2 linked regions of the Stegostoma tigrinum genome follow. The protein of the gene in region 2 purifies or fractionates together with the protein of the main gene of each other region. This does not show direct contact. Links are inferred from orthologs where the notes say so. Each region holds a gene or a part of one and is shown on either strand. Other genes may lie near its edges.

The links.
Region 1: the proteins of ppp2cb (region 2) and liprin-alpha-1-like purify together in Homo sapiens (affinity purification with mass spectrometry; 4 studies listed by BioGRID and IntAct, counting the BioPlex papers as one, with this or other methods). This does not show direct contact. The link is inferred for Stegostoma tigrinum from reciprocal best matches to the Homo sapiens genes PPP2CB and PPFIA1.

Annotation. Positions count from the first base shown.
Region 1 is NC_081370.1:62,702,871-62,710,226, reverse strand, and holds the start of liprin-alpha-1-like, read right to left. Parts: upstream 3,095-7,356; 5' UTR 2,791-3,094; coding exon 2,548-2,790; intron 1-2,547. UniProt on the Homo sapiens protein: May regulate the disassembly of focal adhesions. May localize receptor-like tyrosine phosphatases type 2A at specific sites on the plasma membrane, possibly regulating their interaction with the extracellular environment and their association with substrates.
Region 2 is NC_081354.1:12,436,490-12,444,349, forward strand, and holds the start of ppp2cb (serine/threonine-protein phosphatase 2A catalytic subunit beta isoform), read right to left. Parts: upstream 3,034-7,860; 5' UTR 2,827-3,033; coding exon 2,725-2,826; intron 1-2,724.

The sequences.
Region 1 (7,356 bases), on a different chromosome or scaffold from region 2:
TTAAATTTAACTGGTTCCACTCCATTCCATTCCACTGAAAATGCCTTTCCAATCAGTTTCTATGATGACCACAATGACAATCTACATCATCTGTGTAGCCTGTTCAATTTAACTATTTTAAGGATTCATTAGTAATATTATTACACAATAAACGGAAGCAAATCCAAAATATGCAAACATTTCACCAAAAAACTGGGAACACTTCTTAATCTGATTATGCAAGTACATGATCAGCAGCCCAAGACAACAGCACTGAAATGTCAGATCATCAAATCTTCCTTGAAGGCAAGTAGCACTCTTATCAACAATGCATTTTTAGTAATAAACAGTTTCCTCAAAAGTTTAGGGGTGAGCTATAACCTTAACTGTGTCACCATGAGGAAAGCACATCATAACACTCAATACCTGCCAGACTGACATCTCACTTCAGATTTTACAGATTCTCTCAAAATATTGAGAATCAGTGTCACCACTCCACCAAACATTTGTCGAAAATGTATGTAATAAAAATAAGCATTAAAATATTTTGTATTGTGACAGTGATAGGATATAGCTCCAACAGAAATGAAGACCTACTCCATGAATTTGCAAAAAGCAGCCTTAGGCCAGGATAGTTGTGGGTGTGGAGGGGGAAGATGATCTACAGAGAAACAAACAAAGTGGCCAAAAAATGGAACAGCAAAATGATCTACAACTAGCGGAGACAAGGTTCCCTTCTTGAAGCATTTGGACAAGTTTAAGAAAAAAAAAGACGATTTTGTTTTATGAAACCAAAGCGCTCAGCTTTTCATCCTGCAGCTTTGTGGAAAGTACAGTATCAGGAGGATAGGGAGAGGGAGAGAGAGCGAGAGCACGCGCGCGAGAGAGAGAGAGAGAAAAAGAGAGAGAGAGAGAGAAAGACCACACATGACAGCGCGAAGGTGGCACAGGGAAGAAAAGGGAATGCGGTGACCTGAGGGGGGAAATCGAGGTGGGCAACAAGAATTGAGGGGAGAGGATCAGGGTGATGGATGGGGTTCTTGGTTACAGGCTGGTTGAGTGTCAGGGGTGGTGTTGATTAGAGCCTGCGTGAGGGTTGGGTAGGTGATAGAGTCTAGTACAGGGGTGAAGATAGGGGGGTGGTGTGGATTGTTGGTTCAGCAGATGGGGTTGGGATGAAACAGAGAGGTCGGTTGAAGGAGTGGGGTAGTTTGATGGAGTGAGGGCGGCCTCACAAGGCGAAGGGGAACCGGGAGGATTTGGTTGAAGGCGCGAAGGGGAACGGTGGGGGGGGGACACGGGGACTGGTTGAGGGGGTGGAGGGGGAACATGGGGACTGGTTGAGGGGCTGGAGGGGGTGAAGGGGGGGGGGCGCCTGGTGGGGGGGGGGGGGCGCCTGGTGGAGGGGGGGGGCCTGGTGGAGGAGGTGGAGGGGGGGAGGGGGGCCGCCTGGTGGAGGGGCTGAAGGGGGGGGGCGCCTGGTGGAGGTGCTGAAGTGGGGGAGGCGCCTGGTGGAGGGGGTGAAGGGGGGGGCGCGCCTGGTGGAGGGGGTGAAGGGGGGGGCGCGCCTGGTGGAGGGGGTGAAGGGGGGGGCGCGCCTGGTGGAGGGGGTGAAGGGGGGGGCGCGCCTGGTGGAGGGGGTGAAGGGGGGGGCGCGCCTGGTGGAGGGGGTGAAGGGGGGGCGCGCCTGGTGGAGGGGGTGAAGGGGGTGAAGGGGGGGGCGCCTGGTGGAGGGGGGGCGCCTGGTGGAGGGGGTGAAGGGGGGGGGCGCCTGGTGGAGGGAGTGAAGGGGGGGGGCGCCTGGTTGAGGGGGTGAAGGGGGGGGCGCCTGGTGGAGGGGGGGTGCCTGGTGGAGGGGGGTGAAGGGGGGGGGCGCCTGGTGGAGGGGGTGAAGGGGGGGGCGCCTGGTGGAGGTGGGGGGCGGGGGCGAGGGGGGGCGCCTGGTGGAGGGGGGGGCGTCTGGTGGAGGGGGGGGGGCGGAGGGGGGGGGGGCGAAGGGGGGCACCTGGTGGAGGGGGGGGGCGTCTGGTGGAGGGGGGGGGCGAAGGGGGGGCGCCTGGTTGGAGGGGGGGCACCTGGTGGAGGGGGAGAAGGGGGGGGCGCCTGGTGGAGGGGGAGAAGGGGGGAGCGCCTGGTGGAGGGGGAGAAGGTGGGAGCGCCTGGTGGAGGGGGAGAAGGTGGGAGCGCCTGGTGGAGGGGGAGAAGGTGGGAGCGCCTGGTGGAGGGGGAGAAGGGGGGAGGGGGAGAAGGGGGGAGGGGGAGAAGGGGGGAGGGGGAGAAGGGGGGAGGGGGAGAAGGGGGGAGCGCCTGGTGGAGGGGGAGAAGGGGGGAGCGCCTGGTGGAGGGGGAGAAGGGGGGAGCGTCTGGTGGACGGGGTGAAGGGGGGGCGTCTGGTGGACGGGGTGAAGGGGGGGCGTCTGGTGGACGGGGTGAAGGGGGGGCGTCTGGTGGAAGGGGGGGGTGAAGGGGAAAGGGGGGGTCTGGTGGAGGGTGTGAAGGGGAAAGCAGGGGTCTGGTGGAGGCGGTGAAGGTGGGGTTCTGGGTAAACCTGGCCCCCGCGTCCCCTACCTGAGGTAGGGCGGTGTTGAGCTGCCTCTGAAGCGAGTCCCTCTCATGGAAGGCCTCCTGCATCTTGGCCTGACACAGGGCCAGTGCCTCCTGGCTCTCCCGGAGGCTCTCCAGCAGCTTGTCCCGCTCATCCAGCATGTTCACCATCAGCTGCTCGAAGTTGGCCTCGGTGTCGGCGCCGCACTGCGAGCCCCGGGGGCTCAGCGTGTCCTCGCTGATGGTCGGCATCACCTCGCACATCATGGTGGGCCGGTGCTGGATATGAAGCCGGGGGCCGAGGGGAGGCCTACTCTCCCCAGGCCAAGGGGAACACTGACCCCGACTCAGGGAACAACAGCGGCCTGAGAGCTGAGGCAGGCCGGGGCCCAGGCTCCACACAGGATCCTCGGTAGTCGGTAAATGTACACACGGTCCCGGATCTCACACACACCGGCACAGCCTGCCGTGTCCCTCTGCTATCCCTGTCCCGAGGCCCGGCTTCCTCACATCTCCCGCTTCCAACCGGCACGGCGTCCGCGACCCCGACAAAATGTCCGCGCACTCTCCCGCGACCTGCAGCGCGCACGCGCGCGCACCCACCGTGCGCCGCCACCTCGCGCATGCCGTGCCCCGCCCCTCCTCGTCCCTGGCTCCGCCCACGTACCCAGCCGTTGCTGCAGGCCCCACCCACCTCTTGGCCCCACCCATCCCCCCTTGGCTCCGCCCCGGGAGATTCCTCCTCTGTCAGAAGCGAAGAGGCTGTTCAGCCCATCCTGTCGCCAGCAGTTCAATGAGCCCCGTGAGATCATTGCCAATCTCCGGCATTTTCACCATTTCCTTGCACTTTGTTTCTATTTAAGTAATCATTTGGTCACCAAATAAATAACGTTGCCGAGATAGTAGGAACTGCAGATCTGGAGGGAGGAGGGTTACTCCTTCAAGAAGTTGCCAATGTCCCTTAGAGTTGCTCTCAGATCACAGAGAGAGCTGAATTACGGTGGTTTAACCTTAGGGTCTCAGTGCCTCAGATGAGGGGCAAGGGTGAGAAGGAGTGTTTTCATGCTCTTCATTAGTGACAATCACTCACAAAAGAGGATGATTGTCCTGAGATAGTAGGAACTACTGATGCTGGAGAATCTGAGATAACAAGGTGTGGAGCTGGATGAACACAGCAGGCCAAGGAGCATCAGAGGAGCAGGGAAGCTGACGTTTCGGGTCCAGGCCCTTCTTCAGAAATAGGGGCAGGGAAGGGGATTTTGAAATAAATAGGGAGAGAGGGGGAGGCAGATAGAAGATGGATAAAGGAGCAGATAGGTGGAGAGGAGACAGACAGGTCAAAGAGGCAGGTATGGAGCCAGTGAAGGTGAGTGTAGCTGGGGCATTAGGGAGGGAATAAGTCAGTCCAGGGAGGTGATGTTCCTGCAATCTTCAGATTATCGTGAGGTGAGTTGGCTCGCCGAGTTGGGCTCTTGTTTAGAAACCAGCTCACCAAGACAACCAACCTCAACACCCACAACCCGAGGTACAAATCTACTCCAAAACCTTCAGATGATTGTCCACTTAGAAAATTCTGTGTCTCTGATCATGAGTTCTGTGGACCCTTTTGGGACTAATGACCCTTATATGCCTTGGCATCACAACTGCATATCTGAATACTTCTTTAATATTACAGGGGTTTCTACATCTACCACTCCTACAGGAATAAGATCCAGCTTCCTGCCACCATCTTAGTGAAAAAGTTTCTTTCTCACGTATCCTCTAAACCTTCTGCCCCTTACCTCAAATCTACACTCTGTGGTCAATGGCCCCCCCCATCAAGAGGTAACATTTCTTCCTGGTAACCTATCTATGCCCCTTATAAATTTATTCATCTCAATCATGTTCCTGCTCAATATTTTTTCTGCTCAAAGGAAAACCACCTCCATTTGTTCAATCTCTCTTGAAAATTGAAATTGTCCAGCCCATGTAACACCCTGGGAAATCTCCTCTACACACGCTTCAATGCTAACACATCCCTCCTCCACGTCAGTTTCTTCTGAACAAAATACAGTAGAGGAACTGAACCCAGGCTGCTGGCACCTACATGGACTATGGCAAGCAAACATTTAATGTGATCCCAAATGCCTCAACAGAATCTGTTTCCGTGACATTTCCAGACATTTGCTAAGTGAAAAAGATATTTCTCACCTTGCATTTGCTTAGTTTGCAAAACACTTTAAAACTGTGCTCTCTGGTTCTCAATCTGTTTATGTGTGGGAACATTTTCTCCTGACTTATTCTGACCGGATGATGTTAAAAATTTCCCATGAAATCTCCCCTCAGCTTTCTCCCTTTCCACGGAAATTAGTCCGAACTTCTCCATTTAACCTCATCGCTGACACCATCCTTGGAAAACTCTTCTGTGCTTTCTCAAATGTGCTCACATCCTTCCTGTTGGTGGAGTTGTGGACAGCATGGGGGGCTGTTGTAGGTTGCAATGGGACATCGACAGGATACAGAGCTGGGCAAAGAAGTGGCAGATAGAATCCAACCAGAAAAGGGTGAAGTGATTCATTTTGGAAGGTTGAATTTGAATGCAGAATACAGGGTAAATGGCAGGATTCTCATCAGTGTGGAGGAACAGAGGGATTTTGGGGTCCATGTCCATAGATCCCTTAAAGTTGCGACCCAAGGATTGAAAAGAAGGTGTATGGTGTATAGGCTTTCGCTGGCAGGGGAATTGACTTTAAGAGCCATGTGGATATGCTGCAGCTCTATAAAACTCAGCTTGGACCACAGTTGGAATATTGTGTTCAATTCTGGTCACCTCATTGCAGGAAGAATGTGGAAGCTTTAGAGAGGGTGCAGAGGAGATTTACCAGGATGCTGCCTGGATGGGAGGGGGCAGGTCTTATGAGGAAAGGTTGAGGGAGCTAGGGCTTTGATCATTAGAGTGAAGAAGGTCAAGAGTTTACTTGATAGAGGCATACAAGATGATGAGAGACATAGATAGGGTGTATAGTCAGGGACTTTTTCCCAGGGCGGAAATAACTTCTATGAGGGGGCATAATTTTAAGGTGATTGGAGGAAGGTACAGGGGAGATGTCAGAGGTAGGTTCTTCACACAGAGAGTGGTGGGCGTGTGGAATGTGCTGCTGGTAGTGGTAGTGGAATCAGACACTTTTGAGACTTTTCAGCAACTCTTGAATAGGCGCAAGGAGGATAGTAAAATGTAGGGATGCAGGGTAGTTTGATCCTTGTAGGATAATAGGTCAGCACAACATCGTGGGCCAAAGAGTCTGTACTGTGCTGCACTGTTCTATGTTCTGTGTTCTGTAGTTTGGAACCCAGATCTATACACAATATTCCAGCTGAGGTCTAAGCAGTGTTTCTTACAGGTTCATTATAACTTCCTTACCCTTGTTCTCTACACCTGTATTAATGAAGCCTGGAATATTGCATTCTTTATTAATCCCTGTCTAAATGAGTTAACAAATGCATGACAGATGCCTTATAATGTGGGCAAGTGAGAGGTTATGCACTTTGGGAACAAATACAAGAAGGCAGATTATTGTCTGAATGGCTATTATATTGAGAGAATGGAATTGAGACCTGGCCTGACTTGTACACCAGTCACTGAAGGTGAGTAAAAATCAGGAATAAAATCAGAAGTTGCCGGAAAAGCTCAGCAGGCCTGGCAGCGTCTGTGAAGGAAAAAAATCAGAGTTAATGCTTCAGGCATGCAAGTGCAGCAGGAGGTGAAGAAGGCAAATGTTATGTTGGCCTTCATAGCGAGAGGATTCGAGTACTGGAGCACGGCTGTCTTGCTGCAATTATACAGAACCTTGGTGATTTGATTTGATTTATTATTGTCATGTGTACCTAGATACAGTGAGAAGTTTAGCGTGCACACCAGCAGATCATGACATACAAAGACTGAGGAATATAATGTTTCAGCTGTAGAGAAAGTGCACAAAGAACATTAAATTTGAAACTTGAGAGGCCCATTCAGAAGTCTACTAACAGGGAGAAGAAATTGTTCGTGAATCTGTCAGTAAATGTGTTTAAGTTTTTGTATTTTCTGACCAATGAAGGAGGTTGGAAGAGATTATAACCAAGGTGGGAGGGGTCTTTGATTATGTTGGCTGCTGTTCCGAGGCAGGGAGAAATATAGATGGAGCCAATGGATGGCGAGTGGAATATTGTGTGCAGTTTTGATCTCCTTATCTGAGGAAGAACATTCTTGACATAGAGGAAGTACAGCAAAGGATTACCAGATTAATTCAGAGATAACACAGTGTGGAGATGGAGGAACACAGCAGGCCAGGCAGCATCAGAGGAGCAGGAAAGGAGCCGTCAGTTTTCCTGTTCCTCTGGTGCTGCCTGGCCTGCTGTGTTCCTCCAGCTCCACACTGTGTTATCTCTGACTCCAGCATTGGCAATTCTTCCTATCTCGCCAGATTAATTCTGGTAGAATTCCAAATGTTGGGACTGATATATGAGGAACTGAATAGATTACATTTGCTGGAATTCAGAAGAATGAAGGTGGATCTCAGCGAAGGCTTAAAATTCTAACAAGGCTATAAAGGTTAGATGCTGGGACAATGTTACCAATAACCAGGAAGTCCAGAATCAGGGATTTCAATCTGGGGATGTGGGGTAAACCATTTAGCACTCAGGTGAGGAGACATTTCTTCATCCAGAGAGCGGTGAGTCTGTGGACTTCATGGCCACAGAAAGCAGTGGAGGCAAACTTTGTATGATTTCAGGGAAGGATAGAACTTGGGGCTGAAGGCATAAAATGATGTATGGGGGAAAGCAGAAACAGGTTATTGAGTTGGATAATCAGCA
Region 2 (7,860 bases):
AAGTATTCCAGAATTGAGAGACATTCTAATGTTTTCCTCATGAGCAAAACTGTTCTTGGGACCCTTTTGTTTTTAAAACCGTGACTGAAACAGCAAATTATGATTTAATCTAATTAAGGTAATAGTGACGAAGGATGCTGTAGGTTGCTGAGAGACATAGATAAGCTGCAGAGCTGGGCTGAGAGGTGGCAAATGGAGTTTAATGCAGACAAGTGTGAGGTGATGCACTTTGGTAGGAGTAACTGGAGGGCAAAGTACTGGGCTAATGGTAAGATTCTTGGTAGTGTAGATGAGCAGAGAGATCTCGGTGTCCATGTACACAGATCCTTGAAAGTTGCCACCCAGGTTGACAGGGCTGTTAAGAAGGCATACAGTGTTTTAGTTTTTATTCATAGAGGGATCGAGTTCCAGAACCAAGCGGTCATGCTGCAGCTGTACAAAACTCTGGTGTGGCCACACTTGGAGTATTGCGTACAGTTCTGGTCACCGCATTATAAAAAGGACGTGGAAGCTTTGGAAAGGGTGCAGAGGAGATTTACTAGGATGTTGCCTGGTATGGTGGGAAGGTCTTATGAGGAAAAGCTGAGGGACTGGAGGCTTTTTTCGTTAGAGAGAAGAAGGTTGAGAGGTGACTTAATTGAAACATATAAAATAATCAGAGGGTTAGATAGGGTGGATAGGGAGAGCCTTTTTCCTAGGATAGTGACGGCGAGCACGAGGGGGCATAGCTTTAAATTGAGGTGTGAAAGATATAGGACAGATGTCAGAAATAGTTTCTTTACTCAGAGTGGTAAGGGAATGGAACACCTTGCCTGCAATGGTAGCAGATTTGCCAACTTTAAGTACATTTAAGTCATCATTGGACAAGCATATGGACGTTCATGGAATAGTGTAGGTTAGATGGGCTTCAGATCGGTATGACAGGTCGGCACAACATCGAGGGCCAAAGGGCCTGTACTGTGCTGTGCTGTTAGGTTCTATGTTCTATGTAGGTATCAGTCTAAAGTGATGGGTTGTTAGTCTGTAAATTCTCTTCAAAGAGTGGAGTGAAATTATTCAAGATTAAGTTAGATTTTCGATAAACAAGGGAGTTAACAGTTTCACAGTGCAGGCAGGGAGATAGAATGAAGAAAGACTTTTTGCATGCCAAAGCAGGATGAAGGGCTGAATGGCCTAGTCCTGCTTTATGTCTGCTGTCATTTTACAGCAAAATACTTTATGGCATGGTTAAAACTGACCATGGGAGAGGCTGCGACAGTGTGGCAAAGAAGCAAGAGATGCTGCTGTGTGGAATAATAAAGAGATTGAGGCATACTGAGACTGTGTCTAAATACAGGCAGACCCCAGTTGCAAAAAAGTTCCACGTGGAGTCCACTCAGTTTGATTTGTATGCATGTCAGAACGCAATGCAGGAAATATAAAACTAGCCACTCATAAGTACAGGAAAGATTCCTACATCTGTCAGATCTTTAAAAATTACACCTTTTTTGACTGCATTTGATAGAATATTCATAAATTCAAGGCCTGTTGCACTTGTATTGGGAGAAGGGGGATGAAAAAGTCACAAGAGTGGTAGAGAACTCTTGACATTACACAGTCTTAGTAGAGCACCTTATTAGAGGCCATCATGCCTCAGACAAGCAAAGAGACTGAGAACGAGAGTCCATCATAACCTCAGGTGACATGAAAATTGGACGTAGCACTGATGTCACACTTTGCCACAATCCAGTCTGCCAACTGAGCTAACCGACCTCATGACAAAGCAGAAGAAACATATTCAAACCATCATGTCTCCGCCTCCATTCAATCAGATCAGGTTTATGTGAATCATTGTCTCCACTTTCCCACCTTTTACTCATAAATTAAAAATCTGTCTCAGCATTGAATAAACCTAACTCAGTCTCAATAGGTCTTTGTGGTAAAGAATGCCAAGATTCTTACTTAACTGCATAGAAGAAATTCCTCCTCAACCCACTTTAAATGTGTGACGATTTCTTTTAAGATCAATCCCTTTAACCCTACCACAAGGGGAAACAACCTTTCGACATCTACTCTGTCAAGTCTTCCAAGAATCTTTTATGCTTCAAAACTATTGCCTCCCATTTTTCTAAATTCCAACCAGTACAGGCCCAAACCTACTGAAGCGCTCCTACTAAGTCAATGCCTCTGTATCAGGTAAATGATGAGCGTTTAAAACGCCATGGTATGTATACAAGACGACAGGAAAGGTGCTGGAGATGCTTGGCAAACAGTGCGGGCACATCGAGCTGAAGGGGCTTTATCCAGGCTGTAAGATTCAATCACATGTCAAAGTCTACAACTTCCTGCAAGAAGAGTCAGGGCAGCTGGAACACATGAAAAAGGAGGAGGATGGGGTGGAGCTGGAATGGGGCAAGTAAGTCCGGGGACTGGGATGAAAGGAGGGAGGGGCGGATATGGATGAAGAGAGAGTTGGGGGGGGGAAAGAGGCGATGAAGAGGGCTTTGAGGGCATATAAAGCTCCACCTTGGACCCGCCCCCTGAGCGGAAGTGGCACCGGACCGGAAGTTCCGCCCGGTCAGGCGGGTGGGGCGGAGCCGAGCCGAGCCGGGGAGAGCGGCCGAGCCACTGGTCTCACTATTTGGCAGCGGCGGAAAGGCCGACTCTGTCGCTTAAACCCAGGCGGGGATTCTGTCTGAAATCGCATCGAGAATAAAACTGTTGGCCTTGGCGCTCCCCACATACCTTCTCGCAGAGGGTCCGCACTTGGTTCTCGTTGAGTTGCTTGCACTCGTTCAGCTGCTCGATCCAATCGTCCAGCTCCTTGGTGAACGCCTTATTATCCATAACTATCGGGAACGGTTTTTTTTTTAAAAATTATCAGACAGGGTGTTGAGGTGAAAAGGAAAATTTAAATAAAAAGTCTTGGGTGGGAGGGGGAATCGGGAGGTTAAAATTTTGATCATAAATAAGTTACATGGGTTCGGAACCCCTGAGAAGCTCGGCGCCGTCCGTCACTGTGAGAGTGAGAGGGAGAAAAAGCGGCGCGCGTGTCCGCAAAATCGCGCGCGCACGCACGCACCGACGTAATTCACGTTCCCGCGGCGCGTGACTGAGGAGGCGAAGCGCGCCCGCGAGGTCGGGCGGCGGTTGGAAGCCCGTTTGAATGGGTGCGCGAGCGAAGACAGTTGCCTTTATTTGTCACGCCCCTTATGTACCACGTGGTGTGGCACGTTCGGCCCCTTGCAGACAGACAATAGACAATAGGTGCTGTAGTAGGCCATTCGGCCCTATCGAGCCAGCACCACCATTCATTATGATTATGGCCGATCATCCACAATCAGTATCCTGGTCCTGCCTTATCCCAGTAACCCTTGATTCCACTATCTTTAAGAGCTCTATCCATCTCCTTCTTGAAAGTGTCCAGAGAGTTGGCCTCCACTGCCTTCTGGGCACAGCATTCCATATATCCACCACGCTCTGAGTGAAGAAGTTTTTCCTCAACTCAGTTCTAAATGGCCTACCCCTTATTTTTAAACTGTGTCCTCTCGTTCTGGACTCACCCATCAGCGGAAACATGCTTCCTGCCTCCACAGTGTCCAATCCCTTAATAACCTTATATGTCTCAATCAGATCCCCCCTCATCCTTCTAAACTCAAGTGTGTACAAGCCCAGTCGCTCCAATCTTGCAACATACAATAGTCCCGCCATTCTGGGAATTGACCTCGTGAACCTACACTGCACTCCCTCAATAGCAAGAATATCCTTAAACTTGGAGACCAAAACTGCACACAATACTCCAGGTGCGGTCTCACCAGGGCCCTGTACAGCTGCAGAAGGACCTCTTTGCTCCTATACTCAATTCCTCTTGTTATGAAGGCCAGCATGCCATTAGCTTTCTTCACTGCCTGCTGTACCTGCATGCTTGCTTTCGCTGACTGATGTACAAGAACACCCAGATCTCGTTGTGCTTCCCCTTTACCTAACTTGACTCCATTGAGATAGTAATCTGCCTTCCTGTTCTTGCCACCAAAGTGGATAACCACACATTTATCCACATTAAACTGCATCTGCCATGCATCCGTCCACTCACCTAGTCTGTCCAAGTCACCCTGTATTCTAATAACATCCTCCTCACATTTCACATTGCCACCCAGTTTTGTGTCATCAGCAAATTTGCTAATATTACTTTTAATGCCTTCGTCTATATCATTAATATATGTCGTAAACAGCTGCGGTCCCAGTACCGAACCTTGTGGTACCCCACTGGTCACTGCCTGCCATTCCAAAAGGGACCCGTTTATCACTACTCTTTGCTTCCTGTCAGCCATCCAATTTTCAATCCAACTCAGTATTTTGCCCCCAATACCATGTGCCCTAATTTTGTTCACCAATCTCCTATGTGGGATTTTATCAAAGGCTTTCTGAAAGTCCAGGTACACTACATCCACTGGTTCTCCCTTGTCCATCTTCATAGATACATCCTCAAAAAATTCCAGAAGATTAGTCAAGCACGATTTCCCCTTCGATGCCACGTGATGTACGGAAACACGGAGTCAGCCATTCATTGTAGGCATAGCTGGATGTCTAAGATAACAAAGTGTGGGGCTGGATGAACACAGCATCCTAGGAGCACAAAGGCTGACATTTCGGGCGTAGACACTTCATCAGAAAAGGGGGAGGGGGAGAGGGTTCTGAAATAAATAGGGAGTGGGGAGGTGGATCGAAGATGGATAAAGGAGAAAATAGGTGGAGAGGAGATAGACAAGTTGAGGCCAGATGCCAGCTCTCTGACACCTCCTCCTACCGCTCCCTGGATCATGACCCCACCCCTGAGCACCAAATCGTCATCTCCCAAACCATCCACAACCTCATCACCTCAGGTGACCTCCTATACATAGCCTCCAACTCATTGTACCCCAACCCCACACCGCTCGCTTCCGTCTCCTTCGCAAATTCCACAAACCCGCCTGCCCTGGTCGACCTATTGTCTCCGCCTGTACCTGCCGCACCAAACTCACCTCCACTTAAGTGGACTCCATTTTCTGCTCCTTGGCCCAGGAACTCCCTACCTACGTCCGTGACACCACCCACGCCCTCCACCTCCACCAGAACTTCCAATTCTCTGTTCCCCAACACCTCATTTTCACCATGGACGCCCAGTCCTTATACACCTGCATTCCCCATGCAGATGGCCTAAAGGCCCTCCGCTTCTTCCTGTCCCACAGGCTCAGCCAGTCCCTCTCCACCGAAACCCTCATCCGCTTCACCCTCAACAACTTCTCTGTTGATCCCTCCCACTTCCTACAGGCAAAAGCAGTGGCCATGGGTACCCATATGGGCACAAGCTGTGCCTGCCTCTTTGGAGGTTATGTGGAACAATCCCTCTTCTGCACCTACACTGGCCCCAAACCCCACCTCTTCCTCCATTGCATTGATGACTGTACTGGGCCGCCTCGTGCTCCCATGAGGAACTGAAACAGTTCATCCACTTCACCAGCACCTTCCATCCCAACCTCAAGTTCCCCTGGACCATCTCCAACACATCCCTCGCCTTCCTGGACCTGTCTGTCTCCATCTCCAGCAACTACCGAGAAACTGATACCCATTTCAAGCCCACCGACTCCCACAGCTACCTAGAATACACCTCCTCCCACCCACTTTCCTGCAAAAATTCCATCCCCTATTCCCAATTCCTTCGCCTCTGCTGCATCTGGTCCCAGGATGAGGCATTCCCCTCCCGTACATCTCAGATGTCCTTGTTCTTGAAGGACCACAACTTATCCCCCACAATGGTTGAGAACACCCTCGAACGTGTCTCCCACATTTCCTGCAGCTCATCCCTCACACCCTGCCCCCGCAATAACGCCAAAATAAAATCCCCTTCATCCTCGCATACCACCCCACCAGCCTCCTGATCCAACACATCATCCTCCAACACTTCCACCATCTGCAATCTGACCCCACCTCCAAAGACATTTTTCCATCCCCACCCTTGTCTGCTTTCCAGAGGGACCACTCTCTCTTTGACTCCCTTGGCCCTTCCACACTCCCCTCCCACCCCTCCACACCCAGCACATTCGCTGCAAAGGCAGAAAGTGCTACACCTGCCCCCACACCTTCTCCCTCAACCACATCCCAGGCCCCAAGATGGCTTTCCACATCAAGCAGATGTTCACTTACATATCTGCTAATGTGGTATACTGCATCCACTGTACCCGTTATGGCTTCCTCTACATCGGGGAAACCAAGCAGAGGTTTGGGGACCGCTTTGCAGAACACCTACGCTCGGTTCGCAATAAACAACTGCACCTCCCAGTCGCGAACCATTTCAACTCCACCTCCCATTCCTTAGACAACATGTCCATCCTGGGCCTCCTGCAGTGCCACAATGATGCCACCCAAAGGTTGCAGGAACAGCAACTCATATTCCGCTTGGGAACCCTGCAGCCCAATGGTATCAATGTGGATAGCACAAGTTTCAAAATCTCTCCTCCCCCTACTGTATCCCAAAACCAGTCCAGCTCATCCCCACCTCCCTAACCTGTTCTTCCTCTCACCTATCCCCTCCTCCCACCTCAAGCCGCACCTCCATCATCCGCCCCCTTGACCTATCAATCCTCCTGGGCTGGCCTATCCCCTCCCTACCTCCCCACCTGCACTCACCTGTAAATGGTCCATCCCCGCCCCTTCAACTTGTCTGTCTCCTCTCCACCTATCTTCTCCTCTATCCATCTTTGATCCACCTCCCCCTCTCTCCCTATTTATTTCAGAACCCTCTCCCCCTCCCCCTTTTCTGATGAAGGGTCTAGGCCCGAAACGTCAGCTTTTGTGCTCCTAAGATGCTGCTTGGCCTGCTGTGTTCATCCAGCTCCACACTTTGTTATCTTGGATTCTCCAGCATCTGCAGTTCCCATTATCTCTGATAGCTGAATGTCTAACTGAATGCTCTGTTCACGCTTTCTCCCCATACTCTTTGGTCCCTTTATCCCTGTCAATTGCATCTAACTCCTCTGTGAAAACAGTTGATGTTTTGGCCTCAACTGCTTTGTGTGGTAGTAAAGCCATTTAATCTCAGTTCTAAAAGGCTTATCTTGTACCCTTAGACTGTTGACACCCTTTGCTCCATTCACTATGTCCATCTGTACCCTGTGACACCCCTTTTAGACTATACGACATTGGAGTAGAAGTTATGCCATTTAGCCTATCGAGTTTGCTCCATCATTCCATCATGGCTGATAAGTTTCTCAACCCATTCTCCCCATAACCCTTGATCTCCTTGACAATCTCACCCGTCACATCCTCCTGTACCCTGTGACATCCCTTTGCACACCTATCATGTCCTTGTGTACGCTGTGACACCCCTTTGCACACCCATCGTACCCTTTTGTACACTGTGACACCCCTTTGCACATCTACACATCCTCCTGTACCCTGCGATATGCCTCTGGTCACCCATAACATCCTCCTGTAGCCTGTGATACCCCTATGCTTACCCACTATGCCATTCAGCACCACGTGATATCCCTTGATCCACCAACACACTTTTCAGCACCATGTGAATGGCCTTGCTTTGCACTCTAATAATTCTGTCGTCAGATTTTGCATATCTGAAAGGATAGATAAACTAGAATTGTCCTCCTTAGAGAAATCTACACAAAGAAGCAGGATAATGACTGTGCAGAAGGAAGCCATTTGGCCTATCATGTCAGCACCAGGTCATTAAATAAACAATCTTCTTCATCTTCACTACCTATTCCTGAATCTTCTTCATTTTCATATAACAGCCTATTTCCATTCTGAATGGCTTGTTTGAACCTGCCTCTTCCTCACTTTCAGGCACTGCAGGAGAAAATAGGCACATGCTACATGGATAATGGG